2 linked regions of the Macaca mulatta genome follow. The protein of the gene in region 1 interacts with the protein of each later gene in a biochemical or structural test. Links are inferred from orthologs where the notes say so. Each region holds a gene or a part of one and is shown in the gene's direction. Other genes may lie near its edges. The genes, in order: PIAS3 and MITF.

What was found.
Region 2: the proteins of PIAS3 (region 1) and MITF form a complex in vitro, tested with the Homo sapiens proteins (2 studies listed by BioGRID). The link is inferred for Macaca mulatta from reciprocal best matches to the Homo sapiens genes PIAS3 and MITF.

Annotation. Positions count from the first base shown.
Region 1 is NC_133406.1:119,438,048-119,442,647, forward strand, and holds the start of PIAS3 (E3 SUMO-protein ligase PIAS3), read left to right. Parts: upstream 1-1,624; 5' UTR 1,625-1,641; coding exon 1,642-1,665; intron 1,666-3,652; coding exon 3,653-4,070; intron 4,071-4,227; coding exon 4,228-4,312; intron 4,313-4,551; coding exon 4,552-4,600. UniProt on the Homo sapiens protein: Functions as an E3-type small ubiquitin-like modifier (SUMO) ligase, stabilizing the interaction between UBE2I and the substrate, and as a SUMO-tethering factor.
Region 2 is NC_133407.1:133,472,477-133,476,284, forward strand, and holds part of MITF (microphthalmia-associated transcription factor), read left to right. Parts: intron 1-3,374; coding exon 3,375-3,602; intron 3,603-3,808. UniProt on the Homo sapiens protein: Transcription factor that acts as a master regulator of melanocyte survival and differentiation as well as melanosome biogenesis.

The DNA of each region.
Region 1 (4,600 bases):
TATGGTGAAACCCTGTCTCTACTATAAGTACAAAATTAGCCGGGCGTGGTGACGCAGGCCTGTAATCTCAGCTATTCGGGAGGCTGAGGCAGGAGAATTGCTTGAACCCGGGAGGCGGAGGTTAGAGTGAGCCAAGTTGCGCCACTGCACCCCAGCCTGGGTGACAGAGTAAGACTCCGTCTCAAACATAAATAAATAAATAGGTATTTCCATGGAAACAGAAACAGATTTAATCTTGGGCCTGCATGTGAGTGATCAGCTTGGTTGGGATGGGGCCTCTGGAGGGTCCAAGGCTTTGGAGGAAGGAGAGTGAGTAGGTAGTTCAGAGAGGGACAGAAAGATTCCTTTTGTTGGCAAGAAAACCCCTCAATTCATCTTCAGCTACACCAAAGGTATGGGGGCTCTGGTGGAGGTACTGTGCAGGGGTATCTGGAGTAGTTACTGTTAGGTACACTTTGGATTCAGTAGCCCAGGCTTTGCCCTAGGGAGAGACAGTTGTCATTTCAAGGAAGACTGCTTTATACGGTCAGACACCTGGTTCACACGGCCTTAGCAGCAGCGTGCCACCACCCCAATCCCACACATAAGCGTGAGGGGTCACAGAGGTAGTGAGAATGATGGGATCCAAGGATCTCATCTCTCCAGATCCACTCACACCAGGAGTTAATCGCTCCAGCGCCAGGCTCTGAGTCCCTCCCTCTCTCGCCCGAGCTCCGCCCCCCTTCCCTCTCGGCGGTCCTGGCGGGCTTCCCGTGGAGGGGGCGGCCCCAGCCCGAGCGCTAGGCCGGGCGGAGCTCCGGCCCGGGCGGAGCCGCGGCCGCCGCGTCCGGCCGCTGGACCGAACTTCTGCCGTGCGGACAGCAGGAGCGGCGCCGAGCCCCATGCCCCCACCTCTCCAGCCCGCCCTCTGAGCCTCCCGAACCCTCTCTCCATTTCCCACAACTGTGCTGGTAAGTCCCGCTCCCCGCACCAAACTTTTTTTGCTGCTGAGTTTGAGTCCTACGATCGGACCACGAGCTGCATTGTAGTTGGTGTTGGGGGGAGGAGGAGAGGGTGAATTGAGTATAGCTGTCTTGAACTGAATGCCGACTCCACGGCTTCCCTAAGACGGATCAGCGCTCGCCCATTTCCCGAGTTGGAAGACCTCTCGATTTTAGTTGCTTAAACTTATGTAGAGATGGAGATGAGGGTTTGCGCTCCAACTTCGCTACCCCCTCCCCCATTTCTCTGAGCTCTAGCAGTTCCCGATACTTTCCCTCCATCTTTCAAGTATCTTTGGCTCTCTAAAAGCTTGTCCCCTCCCAACTCTGCCGTGGCAAAGCCCCCCTCCACCAGGCACTTCGGACCCGCCTCCTCTTCGTTGCCCTAGGGGACCCCGCGATCTTGGGGGCCATAAACTCCCTCCGGGGCTACGCGTCCTGCCAACCCGCCGCAGACGTGTAGCTGCTGGGTCCGCTGTGGAGGGAGGGGCTCAGGCTGGGGCTAGTCCGAAGCCAGGCGGGCGGGGCCGGGAAGGGGAGGTATAGGGGGCCGGACGGGGCGGAGCAGGCGGCATTTGCGGCCGGCGCCGGGGTGGAGAGTTGTGCGCCGGTCCCTGGGCCTGAGCTCCGGCTCCGGCTAGGGCGCCTGCGATGTCTCAAGATGGCGGAGCTGGGCGAATTAAAGGTACCGGCCCCCTCCCCCATCCCCATCTGGACTGATTCCGGCGGTACGCCGTGTCCGGGAAGCGACCGAGACTGGGTGCCGGGGCTCGGGTGGGCGCCGACGACGTGGCAGGCACGGGCTGCTGAGGATGGGAAAGAAGTGGCTGAGAGCGAGGAAGGGGCTGCGGCGGGGCTCCGGGGGCGGGGCTGCGGGGCAGATGTAGGGGTGGGGCCGAGGGGAATTGCAGCTGTTGGGGGCTGAGGCGCAGGGGGCGGGGACGAAGGGTAGAAGTCGGATTTAGTAGTAGGGGCAGTTGTTGGGGTAGGGCCAGGGGGAAAAGCTGCTCTAGAGGCACTGGGGGCGAGTCGATCGAGGCCAAGAGATGCGACAGTAGGGGGCAGATGCAGGGATGGGACCGCGGGGCAGATGTAGGGGAGGCTCCGGGGGAAAGGCAGCTGAAAGGGTAGGGTCTTTGGGGCTACTCTCGGGATCCGAGCTTTGGGAAATACCAGTAGGCGGCTGAGATGCAGGGGGCGGGGCTGTGCGGGCTGATACCTCGAGGGGTGGGGCAGAAGCATCCTGGAGGCTCAGAGGAAGGTCCTGCCTTAGTGAATCGCGATGTTTGGGCAGAGGCAGAGGCATGTGAAACTATGAGATAGAAAGGAGGGAAGTTATAGGGAAAGCTAATGGAAAAAATAAGACAGGACAGAGAAGATAAAGATTGGGAGAAAGAGGAGCAAGTTTCTCATCACATTCCACAAAAGGGGTCCAAGACAAAGCCTCCTGTGAGAAGAATTGTGTAGGGCTAGCAAGCCCTGCCCATGACAGGATCTCCTAGAGATTCACAGAAGGGAGTCCTCCCTCTAAGGAGAGCGCTCCCCTCCTTCTGCCACACAGAGTTTGGAGGGTGACCACGTCTGAGGACATCTCATAGAACCTTAAACCACCGAGTTCATCCCCATGCCTCCTGGTTTTCTTCTGCCCTTTGAAATGGAGCTATGGTCCTGGGCAGTCTGGAGGTCTAGCCACTGGGCCCAGCTACCTTCAGGAAATTTGCGATTCTGTGCCCTGACTCAGAGGCTTTTCCTTCATCCACCCAGGGCCTCTGTTTAGAGCTCTGCCCGCTCCTCTTCCACCCGTGTAGGGGGGCTGTAGGTTGTACAGGAGTATTATTTTCTCTCTGTAGGAGAGACGCCAGATAATGGTTCCTGGCAGATAGAGTAAACAGGCAGGATACTTGGACTCAGTGAATCACTGTTAATCTCCTCAACCTAAGTTTTGGTCCTGTTTCCCTTCCAGAAAAATAGGACTAAGTTGTGGGGAGGGGGCGGTTATATTAATGATTCCAAGAAAGGATCTGGGGGAGTAATGAGCATTGAACCCTGACCTGAAAACCCCGGCCCACAGAAGCTTCAGAGGCTTGGGGGAAATAGCTGAGGAATTAAGGTGGTTTGGAGGGGTGGGCTGAAGGGCACAATCCTCCAGCCACCTGGCCCCTTTCTTCCCCGTGGGGCTGTCTGGCTTGAATCCTCTTGTCTCTCCCTCCTTCTCCCTGTCTCCTATCCTCTTCCCAGGAGGCTGGGATGAGTTTGAGTGTCTGAGAAAGGGCAAGAGAGGAGATAAGCAGCTTAAAGGAGAGTCCAGACTAGAGGCAGGGTTGGAGGCGGGAGGCTGTGTAGACTTGGAGGTGTGTCTGAGGGTGGCTTGCTGTCTGCCATTCCCTGCCCCACTCTGGCCACTTCCAGGCCTGGGGAGACAGACAGTGTTGCTCAAGCTTGGGGTGGGCAGGGGGTGGTGATGATGCTGACCTGATGGTTGCTAAAGTGGGACTGAGATGTCCCTTTGGATAGGTTGACTACCTGGCAGTAATCCACTAGCTGCGAAGCATCATCTTTCCCATCAGTGCTGGAGGGAAAAAGGCACTGCCCACCTGGTAGCTCAGCCCATGTCTTGGCAGGGCAGGCCTGTGCAACGGAGGATTCTCAAGCTTCTCTGTTCTTCTCCACAGCACATGGTGATGAGTTTCCGGGTGTCTGAGCTCCAGGTGCTTCTTGGCTTTGCTGGCCGGAACAAGAGTGGGCGGAAGCACGAGCTCCTGGCCAAGGCCCTGCACCTCCTGAAGTCCAGCTGTGCCCCTAGCGTCCAGATGAAGATCAAAGAGCTTTACCGACGACGCTTTCCCCGGAAGACCCTGGGGCCCTCTGACCTCTCCCTTCTCTCTTTGCCTCCTGGCACCTCTCCTGTAGGCTCCCCTGGTCCTCTAGCTCCCATTCCCCCAACCCTCTTGGCCCCTGGCACCCTGCTGGGCCCCAAGCGTGAGGTGGACATGCACCCCTCTCTTGCCCAGCCTGTGCACCCTGATGTCACCATGAAACCATTGCCCTTCTATGAAGTCTACGGGGAGCTCATCCGGCCCACCACCCTTGGTATGGCTCTTTGTGGTCCCTTAGTCTTCTGGACTCCCTACCTGTTCCCCAGACATTTCTTAGGCTTTAGTCCTATGGGATCAGTGACCTGGGATGGGGGTGATTTCTGTGGCTGCCTGTGCATGGGCTTGGAATAACTGCCCCTTTGTATCCTCAGCATCCACTTCTAGCCAGCGGTTTGAGGAAGCGCACTTTACCTTTGCCCTCACACCCCAGCAAGTGCAGCAGATTCTTACATCCAGGTACATCTCTTCCAGTCTTCCTCCCTCATCCCTGGGGGGTTACCCCTGGACTCTGCTTTCTGACTTTCTTCTCTTCTGCCCTGCGCTTTTCCCTATCCATCCTCTTGTGCCTACTTGTCTCTCGTTCTTTTGTGTGTCTCTGCTCTATCCTCCGGACATCTAACTTTCAGCCTCTCTGTGCGTTCACCCCTGCCCTCTGGGGGCTACATGCTGATATCTCGTCTCCCTCCTTGTTACAGAGAGGTTCTGCCAGGAGCCAAATGTGATTATACCATACAGGTGCAGCTA
Region 2 (3,808 bases), on another chromosome or scaffold:
TAAATAAAGTAAATTTAAAGAGTGTAAAAGGATCCTAAGACAAAAATGTTTGAGAATTGCTGTTTTAGATATTGTGCTAAAGCCATTAGAAACATGATCTCATTTAACGCAGAAAACACACATATGAGGCAAACTCTCCTGTCACTCCCATTCAATATGCTAGGAGATGAGGACCTGGAGAAGTTAATGATTTGCAGAAGGTACAGGAGTAGTAAGTTGCAAAGATAGAATTTGAACCCAGGTTTCAAGTGAAGAACTCTGCTAACTGTGTTGTCAGGCACATTGTCAAAGAAGCACCAGGAAAAGGCTGGATTCGGACACTAACTTCTCATAACCTAGGCTATCTCCAAGGGAATGTAAATATGAAGATCATCCTTATAGACAGTGTAAAATAGAGATTATTTTCTAGTTTTTGGGCTGAGGCTTGTATTCTGTGAAACACAAAACAGTTGAGCATCAGATTTTTAAACCTGGAGGACTTTACTAAAAAAAGTAGTTTGGATTGCCAGCCACCCTTGAAAAATTTGGAGATTGAGCTAGGCTGGACTCGTATTCCCACATGTCCACAATCAGCTGCAGCTTTTGTCTGCTGTTCCTGCTAGGAACAGTGTGTCCTCTGGTTTGCCACAGACCTCACCACTCCTTATTACCTTCCTCGTAGCTCATGTTCCTCATTTATGTTGCCTGTTTGAGGTGTTTGGGTTGGAAACAACTGGAGATGTTCTGTCGACTGCATAGTGTTTATAGGCCATCTGCTTTCAACCTAAAAATAAAAAGTTATTAACAGTAAAAGAGCCAAATATATCCCATTCTGCTTACCCAAACCTGGATGTAATAAAGACCTCACTGACAGTGCCACCTGGAAAGCAAATTGCTTCTTTCTTTACCAAAGCATAATATTCGGATTCATTAAAGAATTAGGATCTGCCAGTAAATTAACATTTATTTTTAAACGTGAATCTCTTTTCAAGTGTAATAGTGAAATAAGCACATTCCACTCATTGCCCTCATTTTATGTTTATTTTAGTAATGTCTATTGTCCTCATCATTATCGTGTCTGGACCCTTTATTAAAGCAAAGTCTCTGTGAACCTCTGTGTACATGCTAAATCAGTCATTTGAAACAATTTGAGATTGGCAACCTGATGGACTGCATTATCCTGGGCATGTAGACAACATTATTGAATTTCAAATTTTTATGCTTAACATTTGTCAACAGTAGATATTAAGCATTTATCACAATTTATAGGTATATATTTGCTTGCCTCTTTTCTTTTTTTGCCTCACCCCAGAATATAAGTTTCATAAAGCTGGAAATTATATCTGTTTGTTCACAATGCATATTCTATGCTTTGTACAGTGTTTAGCACATAACAGTTAATAATGAATGAATAAAGGAATAAATATGTAAATGTATCGGTTGTGTATATGATAACTCATTATTCTGTAGTCTTAAGAATAATATTTAAAAATTCTTGGCAAAAAGGCTCATGCTTTTTCATTTGAGAGTTAAATAGGGGAGAGACTTAGTTCTTATTATCCGCATAAATATACATCCACTTCTGTGTGTGCCATGTTCTATTTAGGATAGTTCCCGGTCTTCCTGATGTGAGGTCAATAGGCAGGTTACAAATCTACGTAGCTAAGAATAAGGTGCATATTAAAACCAGGATGCAAGAAGAGGCTGTTGAACTTGAACATTCAGCCCAGAGTCTCTTCTCTTCTATACTAAAAGATAGTCATCCTGCAGTCGGAAGTGGCAGTTATTCGGCCATTGGAAAAGTCTCATGTAATAGTAGCTTTTAGATGATGTCTCCTCCAAAGGGGCATCCTGCTCTTAACCTATTGCTGAAAGAGAAATACCATTGTCTATTAATACTACTGGAACTAAAGATGAATAGTGAATTGGACTTGATCTGACAGTGAGTTTGACTTTGATAGCTCGTCACTTAAAAAGGTTCTTTTATATTTATGAAAAAAAGCATGACGTCAAGCCAGGGGGAAAAATTGATATCAACATTTAAGAGCAAACTCGTAGGGCTTCCAAAAAAAAAAAAAAGGCCCTTGTGTGAACTTTTTTTTTTACATGCATAACTAATTAGCTTAGGTTATTATAAGCAGGGCTTCTGTGATAAAGTTTCCGGTGGTGTCTCGGGATACCTTGTTTATAGTGCCTTCTCTATGCCAGCCCGTCTTCAAACTGGAATTACAGAAAGTAGAGGGAGGGATAGTCTACCATCTCTCATTGGATTGGGGCCACCTAAAGCATTGTTATGCTGGAAATGCTAGAATATAATCACTATCAGGTGAGCTTTATTCTGACTCATATTCAGTCTTTGAAATATAATGTAATAAATTGATTTAATACAGTTTTTTTGTAATAAACATACTGTTTTCAATAAGTACAAATCTACTCTTTTAATGCTGTTTATTGTTTGATGCCATAAGAAGTAATCCAATGTAGTTTTGAACAAAGTAAATATTAGTAGGATTCTTTTTTTTTTTTTTTTTTTTTTTGCCTAGTGTGTGGCTAAACTGTCTTCATCAGCTCCTGTTCATTGCTCATAAGATTAAATTGTCTTTATCAGGAAAAAAGTGACTTAAAATTGAATAATGTTGTTTTTGGGGGAAAAGTATTTCTCATTCTAAATTACTGTCTGTAGGAAAGCAGAAAAAACATCCTCTTGACTTGTTAATAGTCATGTCTTTTAAAACACATACGTGTAAGTGTTATGCATTTGAAAGAAACTACTTAATGTAGAATTGCTTTTTATGTTGAGTTTTTTCTTAATTAAAATGTTGAATAATCATGTCCAAATGGAAGTGGGAGAATTAATCCACAACTGGTTGATTTAATCACTGGAAGATTTCTATTTATTTTCTACAGCCATTTTACACAGTTGGTTCTTAAGGAGGGGTGTGTGTGTGTGTGTGTGTGTGTGTGTGTGTGTGTGTGTGTGTTTTAAAAAGAAAGCTGTTCTGTTTTCCAAGGAAAGTGAAACAAACTGAGTTATGCCCCTTCTTCTACATTTTTATTTTGTTCTTAATAAACCTTTTCATGTGTGTTGGGGAAGTTTTTGCCCTAAGATAATTTCAAACTTTTAATTATCAGATATGAGAAGAAGATTTGAAAGAGATGTATAGTTAATTAGCAGGGAAACAAAATAGGGCAAAGTATTACCCCAAATCCTACGAGTTAGACTTTAAACTTCAGTAATATCAAAATCCGTTAGCACAGTGCCTGGTACATAACAAAGGCTTAATAATTTATTCTGTTGGTGGACTGGTCAGTTTCACGTTTGTGCCTGAAAGAAGAGCCATCTGAAACTCACAAATAACAGCGCTGTCTTCATTTCCCTCCATGGCTATGTTCAGGTGCAGACCCACCTCGAAAACCCCACCAAGTACCACATACAGCAAGCCCAACGGCAGCAGGTAAAGCAGTACCTTTCTACCACTTTAGCAAATAAACATGCCAACCAAGTCCTGAGCTTGCCATGTCCAAACCAGCCTGGCGATCATGTCATGCCACCGGTGCCGGGGAGCAGCGCACCCAACAGCCCCATGGCTATGCTTACGCTTAACTCCAACTGTGAAAAAGAGGTAATTCATGTCTCCTCTCCTCTCCTGTTTTCTTATGCTAAATAACTTGTCTGTTGAATATGATTCCCACACTTAACTGTGGACTCTAGTTTGTCCTTGTGGTCACATTTACCAGCCTTTGTCCCTGATTCACCATCATGGCTGTGGCATTCCAGCCTCTTGTCCCCGTCACTGGGTTATTGGGTGTACGGCACATGACGGGAGAC